Lytechinus pictus: one gene and its partner. The protein of the gene in region 1 purifies or fractionates together with the protein of each later gene. This does not show direct contact. Links are inferred from orthologs where the notes say so. Each region holds a gene or a part of one and is shown on either strand. Other genes may lie near its edges.

Region 1 (8,410 bases):
TCCTAGGATGGTCAAGATAAACAAGGTCCGTGAGTGAGATTTGATTAAAGAAATTACTGAACGATGAATTCAAGGAATAGAGAAGTATAAGGTCTAATCTGAACAACTATAAGCGAGATCACATGAAAAATGCAGTGAGTAAATGAGGTTACTTTGGTAAATGTTTCAAATTTGTGTGAAGATGGCATTACACCATCTTTCACTGTATTCAACCTTTCATGAAAAAGAATAGGGCTTTACAGTCTGTGATAACTCACCAGGAACATCGACAACCAGTGGAGGTCTTGGGGCTCTAATCGGGCTTGCTCCAAGTTGTGTTGGAGAAGTAGGTGTCGCTGGCTGGTCCACATTAGATTCCTGACTTGGTGTCACCCTAGCTCCCGGACCAGCAGGACTTCTATCTAGGTGAGCTAGACGCCTCCGACGAATCTGATAATCAACATTTAGAGAAAAAAAAAGAAGATATTTCATGCATCTGGAAAACTTACTTAAGATTGCCAAAAATCAATGACTAGATATATTTTTTACAATGATTTTCTATTGATTAGGGGCCAGAATACTACCCGGGCTGTTATAGCAACTGACACTAAGAACAAATTATGTGCAGCATAAACCCCAAAAAGGTGTTGCTTTTTTCACTAACATAATACACAAGTTTAACCAATTTCATGTTGATCAGCATCTAAAAACCTGCAAAATTATTGGTATAAAGGTTTGAGGAAAATCCATAAAAGATTAAGTTACGGTAAAAATATGAATTTTAGGAATTTGATGTGACATAAAATGCCAAAATTTCAATTTTTTATTAGTTTGTGATGACTACCAATTTTCTTTTTTTCAAGAGCGGGTTTGAAATAATTTGTCTGTTAATATACAGAAGGTTCAATAAACTCCATTTTCAATATTTCAAGAAAATGACATTTCACTGATATCTTTAATTCACAATCCGTGGAAAGCTGCTCGCATATAATGTCCGAAGTCAAAAATTAAATTCTAATAACTTTTTTAAATTTCCTCAAACCTTCACCAATATTTATATTTCTTCTGCTATTTTACAACAAAATTTTTCCCATTTAAAGCTAAGCATTGATTAGGAAGTTTGTGTGACCATGAGTTGGATAATATCCCTGATGTTTTGATTTAGGTTCTAACATGCAAATTTGCAAATGGGCATTTTCACGGTAACTGACGTTACACGGCTCATTTTTACACACCTTTCATTGTGTGTATGATTATCTCTAAAACAACAAATGATGGGAGGTTGCTTGGTTGGTGGCGCTAATAAATTTCACAACCTTGATTCAGCTCCTCGGTAATTTTATAACTGTGTCTACATTCTTTGAATAAGCAATTCTTATGATTGATTTACTAATTATGGGCACTAATAAATGAAATACCTTCAAAAACATAATTCAAGATTATTATTGGCGATGATAACATTTTTCTGCAATTAATTTAAAACGATGACTAATAAAGAAAAATTGGAAAAAATATACGTGCCTGGAACGAAACCAGCAGTACATCAATAATACACGAACATCAATAATACGGTATACCAAAGTCTTTACAATGAAAAGATTGGACACTTCACGGACTTTGCGTAATGACCTGTGTCAATTTGCGTGTAAAATAGTGTAGGCCTAGGTGCCTAGTCTTTCCCTTGTCGTGTCTTTGATATGAATATAAATCGCGCGCCCTCTTTAGACGAAAATTGATATCGGCGCTGACCAAATTTTAACTCCGTGAAATCTTCACCAAAGATCAAGAAAATATATGGTGAGACTACCACATATCGACCACCTCTTTTGAAACCGACCACCTTGCGCGCGTTAAAACTATTGCGTATTACAAACGATACGCGCGGGAGAGTAGGCGCAGTGTCCATAGAAACGGTAAGAATCGATTTTACGAGAAAAAAAGAAGCAACAAAAAGTAAAAATTTAGTAGAATTAATCAAAATTGTATTGACCAGACCCAATTCCCGCTGAAAAACTAAGAAATCCGATAGGAAACGGCTTTAGAACAAATATCCGTCGTCAATCGTCGAATCATGTGCCGGAGCTCGCAGTGGAAGTAGTGAGACGATCATTTAGCATGTTGACATCATAGAACTGATTTGGAAGAGTAAAAATATTTCGCCACCGCGACAAGAATCGGCCGTAAACTTAGTGTATCGCGGGTGGTCGGTTTCAAAAGACGGGTGCAAATGAGCAAATGTAAAATCGTCGTATTCGTTGTTCGTCGATATATACGCGGATTGAATCGGAGTCGCTGAGCGAAACATGGGAATCTGATCTGCTCAATTTTCTGCACAAATGGGACTAAAACTGGGTAAAATTGATGAATATTTTCGCAGATACGATGCTGAGAAGATTAGGTGGTCGATAAGGGGTAGTTCCAACCATACATATTTTTTAGAAGAAACCTCAAGGAGAAGTCACGGAACTCGGAAGGATCTAAATGATATCAGAATGTGAAATCCCTAATTATGTGTGATGTTTTATGTGGGCGAAAGCCCAGTAGTATATGGATGTGTCGTGTGTGTCGCATTATTATGAATGATATTCCTTCGCACGCGAGATGATATGACTGAGCCCATGGGTGGGAAATAACTGGGGCGTTGGGCAGTATACACAAACTCAAAGACGAAGAACTGAATCAATTAATTATCAGTCTCCCTAATCCTGGCTAGACAGCCAATCAAATGGATACAAACCAAGGCAATATAGAAGATTATGGCCACTGCACTGGCATGACTGGTCAGACATGGGGACACGTTTATTTTGTCGTGATCCCATTTTCTTTGTGCGATGACATCGCACAAAAAAATTGGATCACGACAAAATTAACGTTAGATAACACAATATTACACGAGTGGGGCTGCATATAATGCAAGGGAATTGTCGACATGGCAAAGCAGAACAAAGACTGAGGTAAACAAAGCTTTCGCCGTGAAATAACAAACAATCCATATTATTATTAGGCCTTACCTCATCTGGTGTAAGTTCACTCATTTCCACGTTGTTTGTCGGAAGATTTGTTCCTCAAAAAATGAAAATACAAGGTGCGGCTGGATTGTGTTTGTCAAATTACAGATGATAAATTCGTTCATTCATTTCGATCAATTCGCCATATTGCAACGTATATTCGAATATCCGGCCGAGGTTAGCTAGACAGCGCAGGTCGATCGCCAGCATGCTGTGTATTATGGCTGGGCGTATATCCGATTAACAATACCGGATCTGGAAATCGGAAGAAGTGTGTGTGGTCGGGGGGGGGGGGGGGGGGGGGGGGGTATACAAAAATTGGTGGGAGAAACCGGGAGAGAAACAAGACACTTGGCTTACTGACTTAAAAAGAATTACAATGTAGGCTGGGAACTATTCCTTCCCACTGGGAAGGAATATACTTGGTGGAACTTTTGGTGACAAACTATAGGGAAGACGTACAGAAATAATCAAATATATACATCATGAACTAAAAATAAAGGTAGACCCAATTAATCTAATCTATAGGGGAGAGCGGGGAGAAGTGGGGCGCGGGAGAAGTGGGACACCTCCTCTATCTGTAAGAGTAGAGAACTAATCAGCAATCAATTTCTATCCTGCGATAGGTCTTACCAAGCAACCATCATGTCAATTAAGAACTACACCAGGAAATTTTAATTAGAATTTATCCTTTTTCCCCCAGTTTAATTTTACCTATTTTGTACATTTATTGCCAATAAAGTTACAGATTAACAACAAAGACCTATAGACCCTAAATATAACTCATTCAGACATACCATGTCTTAATAATGTGATGATAAATAATGATAAGATGCGTTTATAAAATTTCAGACGCCATTTTTAATTTTGGGGGCTCGTGGGGAGAAATGAGACAAAACATCTCAGCTGTTCCTTGACTTGTCCCACGTACTTCACCACCACGTTGTCCCCCCCCCCGGGCCCCCCCCCCCCCCCCACGCTGTCCCACTTCACCCCAATGGCAGATTGAGTACAAAGGGAGCTCCAATATTAAAGAATAAAAAAATCTTATTCTTACCTGCATTCTGCTTCAAAGCTAATCATGTATGTATTTTTGTTCTGATTACTCAATGTCTTTATCTCTCATTGGTATCAAAGTATAATACAATGAAACTCTCAGTTTATCCAAGGCTCAGGCCAATAGACCAATGATTCAATTCAAGAACAACACGAGTCCTTAATAACGTCCCAACTTTTGCTTGTTTTTTGCAGATAGACATGCCTCGAAAATACAAGCGAAGACTCGTATGAGCATAACATCTCGTGATGACATGCTCAGTGTGTTCATTGTGTCCAAAATTAGGAAATTGAATCCATATCTTAACTTATCTTTGTTTATTTTGATATTTTGATGCAAAATGTCCCTTTTCTTCAATGATAGGAAACGAATCATCTTCGGTTTGATAAAATTGCCCTTTGACATTTTTAACTCTTAATCATCAAAGCCTGGTCATGCTGGTTGACCTGCTTTTTTTATTTGGTATTATTTTATTGAAAAGTGCTTCACAGAATCCCAATAGCAATTTGCCTGTGTAAGGCCAAAATGATTTATTATCTATACAAGCATTCCAAGATATATTGAATTTGCAGGTATGCTTACTAGTTAGAGTTTATTGTTTCATGCAGTGTTGGATGTATATGATTGAAATTAAAATATTTGCGGTGTTACACATTTACCTTGATGTTATGTGTATTTTTCTTTAATTACCTTTCTGTTTACACATCACTTTTGCCTGTCCCACGTTACTCCCACTGTCCTATTTTACCCCATACCACTTTACCCCAAGGGTGGTCCACTTTCCCAGAAGGAAAAACCAGTAAGACCAGTAGGAATTTTTACTGGTTTCCAGTAGATTTTTACTGGTTTCCAGTATATTTTTACTGGGCCAGTTGATTTTTAACTGGACCAGTAAAAATCAACTGGAGACCAGTTCAAACAATTGCATTCCAGTTGAAGCAAAGTAGTAATACAAGTTAAATTGTTTTTCATCAAACTGGTGTTACTGGTCCAATAAGTAATTACTTTATTTCAAGTCAGATCATTTGACGAATTAAGGAAAATGAATCTTGCAATTCAGAGAAAGTTATTATCGTTATCATTTATCATTGTTATCATCATTCTTCTTATAATTATCATAATTATTATTATTATGATTATTATGATCATTGTTGTTATCATTCTTATTACTGTTATCATTGTCATTGATATTGTAATTATTATTATTAATATTATCATAATTATCAAGTATTAACATTATCATTAAAATAATTATTTCCTTTAACGATGATTAAGATCAAAGCAAGATATATTCCTCTGATATAGTCAACTGGTCTAAAGTAATTCATTGTTTGAAATTGAACTGGTCAAGACCAGTAATACCAGTAATTCTGATGATGCTGATCACGTGGTTTACCTCATTTGCATATTTCCTGTTTTTAAAAGAAAAATCAGGATTTAGAATGGAATATCCTTGCAATGGCACTCATTGTAGTTAAAAAAAAAACTTTCTAAATAAGTTTGTGAACTAATTCACAATGAAAATGTTTAATTTCATATATCACATTTAAGATAACAGCAGAAAGATTAATTTACTTAGCATCTTTTCCATCACATTTCACTGACCATGGTATATAACAAACCAAATGCATATAATAAAATTGATCCAGTAAGACCAGTACGAGGACCAGTTCGAGGACAAGTCAGACCAGTAGAAAATACCAGCAAAGACCAGCTTAAATTGGATACCAGTGAGACCAGTAACAACCACCAGAAACTACACCAGTATAAAATTCCGGTAATTCTAGGCCAGTTTAATTTTTAACTGGACCAGTAAAATCTTAACTGGACCAGTATGACCAGTTATAGACCAGTAAACCGATGTTCCAATTTCCAGAGTTACCAGTTAAACTGGTTTTTCCTTCTGGGTTACCCCGCGCAAGAGGCGTTCCAAAATCACATTTTTTAAACCAAAATCTTAAAGTTTAGGAGTGATACCTAGTACCTGGCTATGTAGCTCAGTATTTTCACTATAATGGCCTATGCTTATAAGTTAGAGTTTATTGTTTCATGCACTGTTGGATGTTTATGATTAAAATTATCATCTGTGTGGTGTTACAAATTTAACCCTTGATGACATTAGTATTTCTCTTTAATTACCATTCTGTTTACACATCACTTTTGCCTGTCCCACGTTCCTCCCACTGTCCTATTTTACCCCACCCTATGTCTCACTTTACCCAAAGGGTGGTCCACTTTACCCCGCGCAAGAGGTGTTCCAAAATCGTATTTTAATCATATCTTAAAGTTATACTAGTACCTGGCTATGTAGTATTTTCACTATTTACCATTATGAACTGTAAATGTCATTCTGAATAATTAAAAAGCTAGAGATGGAAAACGATCAGAGTGTTATTTTTGTCCCACTTCTCCCCGCTCTCCTGCTATTAATTCTATATATCTCCTAGATCTAGGCCTAATAGGCCATGAAGAAGTAAAAGATATTTTTAGGAGGAAAATAAAATTGATGACACCAGTTATGTGCATCTCGATAAATCATGGGCGGAAATCCCTGGGGGGACAGGGGGGTCGCGTCCCCCTACCCAAAGTAGTAGGGGGGGACACAATATCAATTGTCCCCTTACTATTTTTGGTCTTTTATGATGGAAAGAAATACATCAATAAAAATCGAAATAATACATGTATTTTGGGGGAGAAAAAATGGGAAAAAAGGGGGAAAGAAAGAAAAAAGAAGGGGGAAAAGGAGGAAAAATGAAAATGAATAATACGAGAAGGGAGACAAGTGAATAAAATAAGGTCAATGGAAGACTTGGAAAATGATTTGAAAATAAATGTCATGTCACAATATTAAATTTTTGCCCACGCTTCGCGCTCGCATAGCCTGTTCGACGAAATACATATCGTGTTTAATAGGCTGATATGTAGCTTAAAATATCAAGTTTTGAAATATACAATGCATATATTTCAGCTCGAACATCGAGCTTTTATTATTTTGTTTGATTTACAAATTGCTCTGTAAAATGTCCGTTTTATTGTGTGAATATTATTTGCAGCTTTTTGCGCTATGCGCTCGCTTTATTTGATTTGCCAAGTAGGCCTACATATTGTCTCTGTTTAGTCCATCAGATTCTTTATATACCGGTATTAATTCTATAACAAATTACTTGAAATCCCCCTTTTATCAAAAATTTCGTCCGCGATTGCGCTGGCATTATTGTTGAAAATATATCAACTCATAAATCCTATTCATGATTACAAAATGATTAAAATATCCAGTTTTCAGGACTCAATGTCAACAAATTTCACTCACTCATTATGCTTATAACATTAATAAATACGATAGATAAAATTTTCATGAATTCCTAATAACAAAATTGTCGCTTTTTCAGAATAGGAATAGGAGGATAGTCATCATTTTCATATGATGACAAAATGTCCTTAGGCCAAGAATGTCCAGGTCTCAGGTCAAAATAGTAATAATAATATCAGCTCGCGCTTCTCACTCGCATCATTTATTACGTGCTATCCGTATCCACTTCACAATTTCCCTACACAGTGCTTTAGATAGTGCTTAAATTCACCTTTTCATACCGGAATATCAAACATTTTCCGCTCGCGCTTCGCGCTTGCATTATTGATTTTCATGATAAAAAAATGAAATGTATTCAGAATGCCCAGATTCTGCCTAACTCTAAAACACGCGCGCACATTTTTATTAAGATACGCAGCTTGATCTTTATTCAAAACGTGCTAAAATTATCCAGTTTCAGATCAGAATATAAAAAAAAATTTCTACTCGCGCTTTGCACTCGCATTATTAATGTAGGAAAAGACCAAATTTCCCATCTTTTTTCATGATTTACAAAACATGAATAAAGTGTCCCATTATATAGGTCTGAAATCTCAATTTTTTCACTCGCGCTTCGGGCTCGCATTAATTGTTTGGTTTTATACCTTTACCGTTTATGATTACAAATAGTGCTTAAAATGTCAACTTTTTAGGTCGGAATGTCAAAAAATTCTCAATATATTTAATAGTTGAAATATGTATCGTCTTAATGGCTAACTGCAAAACGTCCTTATCAGGTCCCTTATAGATCAAGCCAGAACCGCTCGCAGTAATTATTTAGCTATACATACGCACAGAGGCGTCGATCATGGGGGGGGGGGGGGGGGCAGGGGGGGGGGGGGCAACCGCCCCACCAATGAAAATATTGGGGGGCAACCATATCGTTTTGCCCCCCCCCCCCAATAATTCCGCATGTGCAAAAAATAAAATAAGATTGTAATGTTACACAGAAATCAGCAAGCAAGATTAAGATACACAACTCGTTCTTCATCTAAAATCGTGCTCAAAATGTCCGGT
Region 2 (7,873 bases), on another chromosome or scaffold:
ATGAGAAATTTGACCCAGAAGAGGTAATGTTCGCATGTTTGACCTATGGAAGGTGGTCTCATGCAAGTTTAATAATAATGAACTCGCGCTTACATAGCGTATACAAATTAAAACTGCTCTATATAGCTCTCAAATTTTACACTACAACAATTATCCCCACATCAATATCAGAGTAGACATTTATCATAAAGTCAACTCACCTTCCTCCTACCTCTCTTGTGAAACTTTGTGGATAACTGGTAGATTGAACTGACATGCCTTTTTTATGGGGGGATGTGTTGAAAGAAAACATCTGCAATCAACTGCAAATTTTTTGTTGCACTTTTACAATTGACAATTTTGAAGCTGTCACTATCAGTTTACACTGCTTGTGACATCAAACATGATGTCAGCAAGCAATTACAAATTTGCAACTAATGGCAAGACATATAATTGGTATTATAATGGGCACCCCAGATAAATTTGCAGTTGATTGCAAGTTTTTTGCAATGCGCGATAGTTTTTGGGGGGGAGGGTGGAAAGGCTCCATATAAATGTTCACATACCTGGTTTGACTTCTGGCTCGGGAAGTTTCTTCCTCAGAATGTGCACGGTACATCCTGCCTTCACCCCACATCCTGATAAGGTTTCTGCATCTTTCATCAACTTTCCACAGTAAACTAGATCTGCAAGAGCACATGGAAAGTGACAGTGTTTTGTACAAGATATATGGGGCATTCAATGGTCAATAGGGAAAACAAAAGGAAATAAGCGATGAAGAGGGGAGTGTTAAATGTGCATTTGCAGAAGTGGGATGAACTCACAGAAGGAATGCATTTAAGTCCGGCCAAATTTAATGGAAAAGTCATCTACATCAGTCTGGGAATGAGGATCGTCCCCATTTCTCCGCACAAGAAATCTAGGAAAGTTCATTCACCTGTCAAGTGCCGACACCAATCGAGTACGCTAGTCAATACAAAATATTAGGGTTTCATCAAGATTATACGAAGTTGGGAAGTCATAAAATAGAAAGTGAACTGGGGGGAATGGAAGTAACGGAATCTATTATTCGCACTCTCAATTCTAGAAACTGCCATCTATTTCCCACAGGAGGGATTGGGGGAAAAAATTGTTCTCATAAACAAGGACAATCTAAATTTATCAAGATTTGATTTGTATTGGTTTATGAAGATATCCTTGTTTTCTGAGACAATCCTCAATTTCGGACTGGCAGCTCTGTACCTCTACTGAATGTGTTATAAACTTCTAATTTTGATGTTCATATATTTTCTATTGATCATGTCTGATGAGGAAGAAATAAAATATCATGAAAAAAATAATCTCATACCAGACTGTTACGCTCAATCTCATCACAATTGCAGTAGTATTGCAGTGGGTCATATAACATGTATAACCAAATTACAATCATATCAAACACAATAGTTTCTTTAGATTCATTATTCACAAATACCTAAAAACAAAATTTAAATGGCCAACAAAATAATATTTTTGCCAAGATCAAATGTCTTTTTTACAATATCACTCAGCTTCAGATCACACCCTTAGCCCTTCTTCGCACATGCAGACAGTCGACAGTGAAATAAATAAAGTGCTGTGACGTGTTGTGAAATATACTATATGGTAATACATTATATCCATGTATTTGGACCACATGGCTTGCCATAGTCTTAGGGCACATGTACGTATGCCCGTGCCGTACGACCGCGTACGACCATCGCCCTGGTTATATGTTATACTTCTTGATTTTCTATACTTAACGTGTTGGAATTTTCTTTTTCTTTACCGAGTTTACATAGGATATTTAGTCAAGATTTTGGATAGTATTTCTGCTACTCAGTAGACCTATTCGTATTTTTTGTTTGCCGACGAGGGGTTCACTGGATTTTGAGCCGGAGTTCGGTGAGTGATTTATAATTTAGGAATAGTGTTTCCACTTATATATATTTTAGGCTCTACATATCAAATTATTGTTTCTTTGTTGCTTATTTTTTGCTTGAATTTACTGATTTGGCCACCTGATAGGGTTTGGCAAATCTTTCAATTTCTTTTTTCAAAGTACATTTTCCGGCAAGTAGCCTGTTTATTTCCTAAATTACAAAACATATTATGAATACATAATTATACTCTGAATTTATATACTTCTCCGGCCGTATCCCATATATATTTCACGTTATAAGTTAGGATAATGAAAGGAGATTTATGGGGATAAATCTTGTTGGCCGGGAGGTGTGTTGTGAAATATACTATGGTAATACATTATTAGACCAAAAGCTTCGGTCTCTGTTATGTTGGTTGTTCAGCTGAACTCCGTTGGCTTCACTCATCAAATACAGAGACCGAAGTTCTAGCGCGATCTGTACAGGGGACTCAATGGCCATATGTTTATGTGTATTAAGTTTGGATAAAACAGGGCAGTGAAGTTGCGCAACAGCCGAGGTAAGTCACTGTTTTTGTTCCATTTAACTTGATTTTCCCCGTTTTTTGGCAATTAATGCCAAGAGGGAATATTAATTTGCATTTTGGTCGCGTTAATTTTCAAAAGTTTGATTCATTAAAGACAAAAATTGAAGAGCCCTGACGGGGGGATTTTGCATTGTAAGTCCCCTAATGGTGGCTGCACGATAGCGAGCCATCTGTGTACGAGGAGAAATTTAAAAAATAAAAAAATGTTTAAAAACTCCTCGAAACAGACGGCTGCCAGCTGTCTAATACATTATATTTGGACCACATGGCTTGCCATAGTCTTAGGGCACACGTACGTACGCCCGTGCCGTACGACCGCGTACGACCATTGCCCTGGCGCGGGCGAGTTCACACAAGGAGAACTGGATTTGGATTGAAGCGGAAAGGACCTAGCGACTTACCAATCCTCTGGCTCTGGTTCCCAGTTCTCAGCTGGATTTACAGCAAGTCTTATCTCGTAAGTATCAATTAGTACCACTCGGATAATTTCACAACAGACGTGACTGAGTGCAGTGACCAACGTCGACCACGTTACTTTGCACTTGTTGAAGTAAACTTGGAAAAATCCACTCATCCTACGAACGAGGTCGAGGTACTTCTTCTACTTGTTATATATTATAATCAAGACTCAAGAGTAAAAATCATTTGCTCAAACTGAAAGTAACATGCTTTTCCAGCTTTCCTTATCATGCTGATGGTTAATAAATTAGTGGCAGGTAGTGAGGTAGGAGCAATGGCAGGTCCTTTAGTTTTACTAGCATTAACAAGGTCAAGAAGCTAGTACTAGTAGAAGTCAACTTGGCCTGGTCGTAGTGCAGTGTGCACATCCGAAATGCAAATTACACAGCGCCTGCTGCGCTGGCGTGGTGCAGCGCGGTCATCCGCTAGATGCTGCTGGTAAATGCTTCGCTGCCTTGGCTTGGTCTTCGACTTGTCTAACCGTCTGTTCTACTCTACACAACTTTACTTACTTATATCTGTTGACGGAATATCGAAGACATTCGAAACTCTTTCTCTAAATTCTGCTACAGGTGAACCGAGGTCCACTCCATCTAAACGAGGGCGGCCAGGTTTTTCGGAAAATTTGACACAGACAATACAGCTCGCCATTTTTTTTGTCAGACATCAACAAAAGAAATAGGGCGTGGCTTGTAATGATGACGTCAGCATAATCAGGATTGATAAAGCGAGTCCCCCGCCCCGCCCGCGAAATTATTTTTCCCACCGAGTTCTGGACCGACATATGAATATTCATGACTTGCGTCTTCGGATTGAGAGTACGCATGCGCGTGGACTTAGCCTCGACCAGTGCCGATCGTAAGCATTCACGTTGCTCAGAATGAATTAGCATCGTCAAATTACCGGTACCCTTACATAGTTACATAGGCCTTATAGGCTTAGATCTATATATACATCCAATTCTTAAACACTTATCAAACTAGCTGCCATTAATGGCAAGACATGTGCTAGGGTGGGGCTAGCTTAGGCTAGCGCATTAACTTTACCTCAAATCTGGACCTGTCTAATGCCTAATACTAATAGGAATCCCGGATAGGAATAGCCGACTAATGACATGGTTAACTTCGAACTTGTTAATTCCGAACTTTACGTTTGATTAGGTTTGGACCAATATTAGCTTATTTACCATGGTTTAATATGGGGATTACAGTAAAATGTCAGAAATTGTTGAATAAATCCCCAGAAACGACGGTTATTCCTGTCTAGTCCGTATACAGAACCAGTCCTAGATCTAAAAAAAAATATCTTAGTTCTAGTCTAGTCTCTAGATCTAGACTCTGATCTACGCGCTATCAGCATGGAACCACTAGTGTACCAAAGGGGGGGGGGGCAGACTGCCCCCCTGACGAGTCACAACTGATTCAGGGGACGTGCCCCCCCTTGAAAAGCCAAATTAATAATTTGTAATGTCAAAATGCAACGAAAAAATACGTTTTTCCCCTCTTTTGAACGTGAAGATCTTTTTTTTTTCTTGTCAAATTTTTTCAGCTACAAAATCCATAATTTTGGGTGAAGACGGGGATCAAGATCACTGACGTTAATTTGTGCCTGACGTTAGAATACGTTCCATGCACGCACTGGTGTACCTAGGATTTTCCAAAAGGGGGGCAAATTTTTTAGAGGATATTTCGTCCGCGAAAAAATGTGACAAGCCCCCCCCCCCAAAAAAAAGGGTCTTCACCCCAAATTATGGATTTCTTAGCTGAAAAAAAATTGACAAGCAAAAAAAAAAAAAGATCTTCACGTTCAAAAAAGGGGACATACGTCTTTTTCATTGCATTTTTACATTACAAATTATTAATTTGGCTTCTCAAAGGGGGCACGTCCCCTGAATCAGTTCAGTGACTCGTCAGAGGGACAGTCTCTCCCCCCCCCCCTTGGTACACTAGTGGTTCCATGCTGATACAGCGTAGATCAGAGTCTAGATATAGAGACTAGACTAGAACTAAGATAATTTTTTTTTTAGATCTAGGACTGGTTTTGTATACGGACTAGACATATTAAACCATGGCAAATAAGCTAATATTTGTCTAAACCTAATTAAACGTGAAGTTCGGAATTAACCAGTTCGAAGTTAACCATGGCATTAGTCGGCTATTCAGTGTTGTATGTCAAGGCTCAAACATCCAAGGCCAAGGCCAAGGCTTTAATACCCAAGGCCAAGGCTTCAATACCAAAGACCAAGGCCAAGGCATGGAAACCCAAGGCCAAGGCCTGAAAACCTAAAGGCCAAGGCATTTCAAACTTACGATATACAGAACAATGAACTAACAATACTTAGGCGGCAGACATCACACATGGTAAAATGTATGTGAGCGAGGGGATTGAGCGAGAAAAAAAAACCTTTGTACATTTAAAACAAAAATAATTTCATGATAGAGACATATTAAAATAATGATATAGTTACCTGTGTACACATAATCCATAATTTTTCTATAGGCGATTTACATTGCAATAATTATTATTACCACGGTCATCTGATCCTGGCATTCTCAACGTATGTTTTCTCCACTCCCTGGGACAGGGGCAGCAGAAAATTATTATGGGGGGGGGGGGTCAACGCCAAAAAGGCACCCATTTTTCAAAATGAGTTTTTTTGTGCAAACAGATACATGTATTTGAAAAATGAGATTATGAACTGCGTGAAGTAATTGTGTGTTTTATAGAAATTAAGTTGAGCAAAGGCTTTCTAAAGTGATTTTTAATTATAAGATAGATATTTTGCTTTAGGTTTTACTTCTCAGCGAGAAAGCATAGCGAGCAAGCGGTTTTGAAAAAAAAAATAATTCTGAAGTTGTAAAACTTGATTTATGGTCAATTATGGGGCTAATCATTGTTGAAATTTCCTTGCGCGATGTTGCCAGCGCGAATCACGAGCTCAAACTTCTTGACATGTCGTGTAATAAGACATGGAAATTATTTTATTCTGAGCTGGTTTTGTAATCATGAAAAAGATGTGTATCTATATAACTAAAAAATAACTTTGCGCTCGCTAATTCTTTTTATATACTGACCAGTAAAGGAAGCAGTTAATTACTGCATTTTAAATAAGATACATAATTTACCAATAAAAAATAATGCGAGCGCAAAGCGCGAGCTCAGAAATTTGTGATATTCCAACCTGAAAACTGGACATTCTAAGCATTTTTTTGTGAACGGGAAGAGAACGAGTACAATAATTGATGCGAGTGCAGGAAGCGAGCCAAATATTTGTGATATTTCAACCATAAAGCAACATTCTATACATTTTTGTAACCATTAGCAGTACTGTATACTAAACAATAATTGATGCAAGCACGATTCAAAATCTGTGATTTTCAAACCTAAAATGTATTATGTTTTATTATTAAAGAAGGTATTTCTTTTTTAAAAAGGGCATATTTCATTTGGGATTTTTTTTTTTTTTTTTTTGGGGGGGGGGGGCAAGAGAGCACAAAGCGCAAGCTAAAATTTTCAAATGCTTAAACTGAAAATGAGTCATTTTTAGGACTCTTGTCAGTTTTCATATTTTTTTCTGCTTTCAACCACTTTTATTAAACAGTTAATTAATCATTGATTATTAATACTTATTGATAATATCAATAATTATTACTTATTAAATTATTTTTTGTTAATTATTATTTCTTGAAACCATATTGACACAAAAACAAATACGTTGTTTATTTCCTTGAAACTGTAGAGAAATGAGATTCAATGTTGAACGATATATGATTAAAAAGAAGTAAACATTTTTTCCCCTTTGTTTTGTCAATCTGACCCAAAAACAAATATAAAATTTAGAAGAGAGATAGAGAGAAGAAGAAGTCCCACCACCAAGAATAAACTTAGACAAGGGGGGAAGGGAAAGGAAAAGATGGAGTAAATATGATATTATTTTTTAAACAATCTATTGCAAAATTAGCTTTTCTTATAGAAAGAGGGGGACAAATTTTGTTCACTCGCTCGCTTCAATCGCTTTCTTCTTTTTTTTTGACAGAAATTTTGCTCTATATATGCCATGCTTGGCCCCTCAAAGTTTCTGGCTCACCATGCCATTGACATAACCCATTTGGATATGACACAATTGGAGACTGTGTTCAAGTTTACCAAATCTTTTCAGAATATCATTAAGACTTAAAACATTCTTGTTGGCCAAAGAAAATAATACAAGGAAAACCCTAATGGAATAGAAATCAACCTTGTTATCGTTCTTTAGAGTTAGCTATGTTTAAAGTATGAAAATTGTTGTCAAAATTGCAGTCAGATGTAAAAATTATTCTTGTCATCAAAGCACTATTATCTTGATCATGACCATTATTATTTACTGTCATTATCATCATATGATTACACCACATTACCAATACATAATGCTATTTTTCATAACTGATGTATTCTTTGTTTGAATTTCTTGATAATGGTGACAATTACAATTGATGACACTGCTAGTACACTTACTACTGCTGCTGCTACTGTTACTGGTGATTGGTAGTATTGACCATTAGTGTTATTAAATATATATTAAAAAAAACAATTGAAACATTTATAATTACTTATTTAAAACAAATGAAAGTACAAAATTCAAAATGCCTTGAAAATGCCTTTAAAAAAAAAATTCAAGGCTCAAAATCCTCAAGGCCAAGGCCCTCTCGAGGCCAAGGCTTTGAAAAAGTAGCTAGGCATTAAGGCGCCTTAAGGCCAAGGCCGAGCATCAAGGCACTACAACACTGATTAGTGTAGTAGGTTTCACGGTACACCATGTATCTTTCTTGGGCAGATGTTGGTCCTGAAAAGGACCACCCAATCTCGACGTTTCGACAAGTGTGTTCTTGTCGTTTTCTCCTGAGGACGACAAGAACACACTTGTCGAAACGTCGAGATTGGGTGGTCCTTTTCAGGACCAACATCTGCCCAA

Evidence for each region.
Region 2: the proteins of ubiquitin conjugation factor E4 B-like (region 1) and ubiquitin-like protein 7 purify together in Homo sapiens (affinity purification with mass spectrometry; 3 studies listed by BioGRID and IntAct, counting the BioPlex papers as one, with this or other methods). This does not show direct contact. The link is inferred for Lytechinus pictus from reciprocal best matches to the Homo sapiens genes UBE4B and UBL7.

What each region holds. Positions count from the first base shown.
Region 1 is NC_087258.1:2,506,999-2,515,408, reverse strand, and holds the start of ubiquitin conjugation factor E4 B-like, read right to left. Parts: upstream 3,210-8,410; 5' UTR 3,015-3,209; coding exon 2,991-3,014; intron 430-2,990; coding exon 258-429; intron 1-257. UniProt on the Homo sapiens protein: Ubiquitin-protein ligase that probably functions as an E3 ligase in conjunction with specific E1 and E2 ligases. May also function as an E4 ligase mediating the assembly of polyubiquitin chains on substrates ubiquitinated by another E3 ubiquitin ligase.
Region 2 is NC_087249.1:17,028,409-17,036,281, reverse strand, and holds the start of ubiquitin-like protein 7, read right to left. Parts: upstream 3,613-7,873; 5' UTR 3,574-3,612; coding exon 3,435-3,573; exon of another isoform or gene 2,865-3,434; intron 666-2,864; coding exon 546-665; intron 1-545.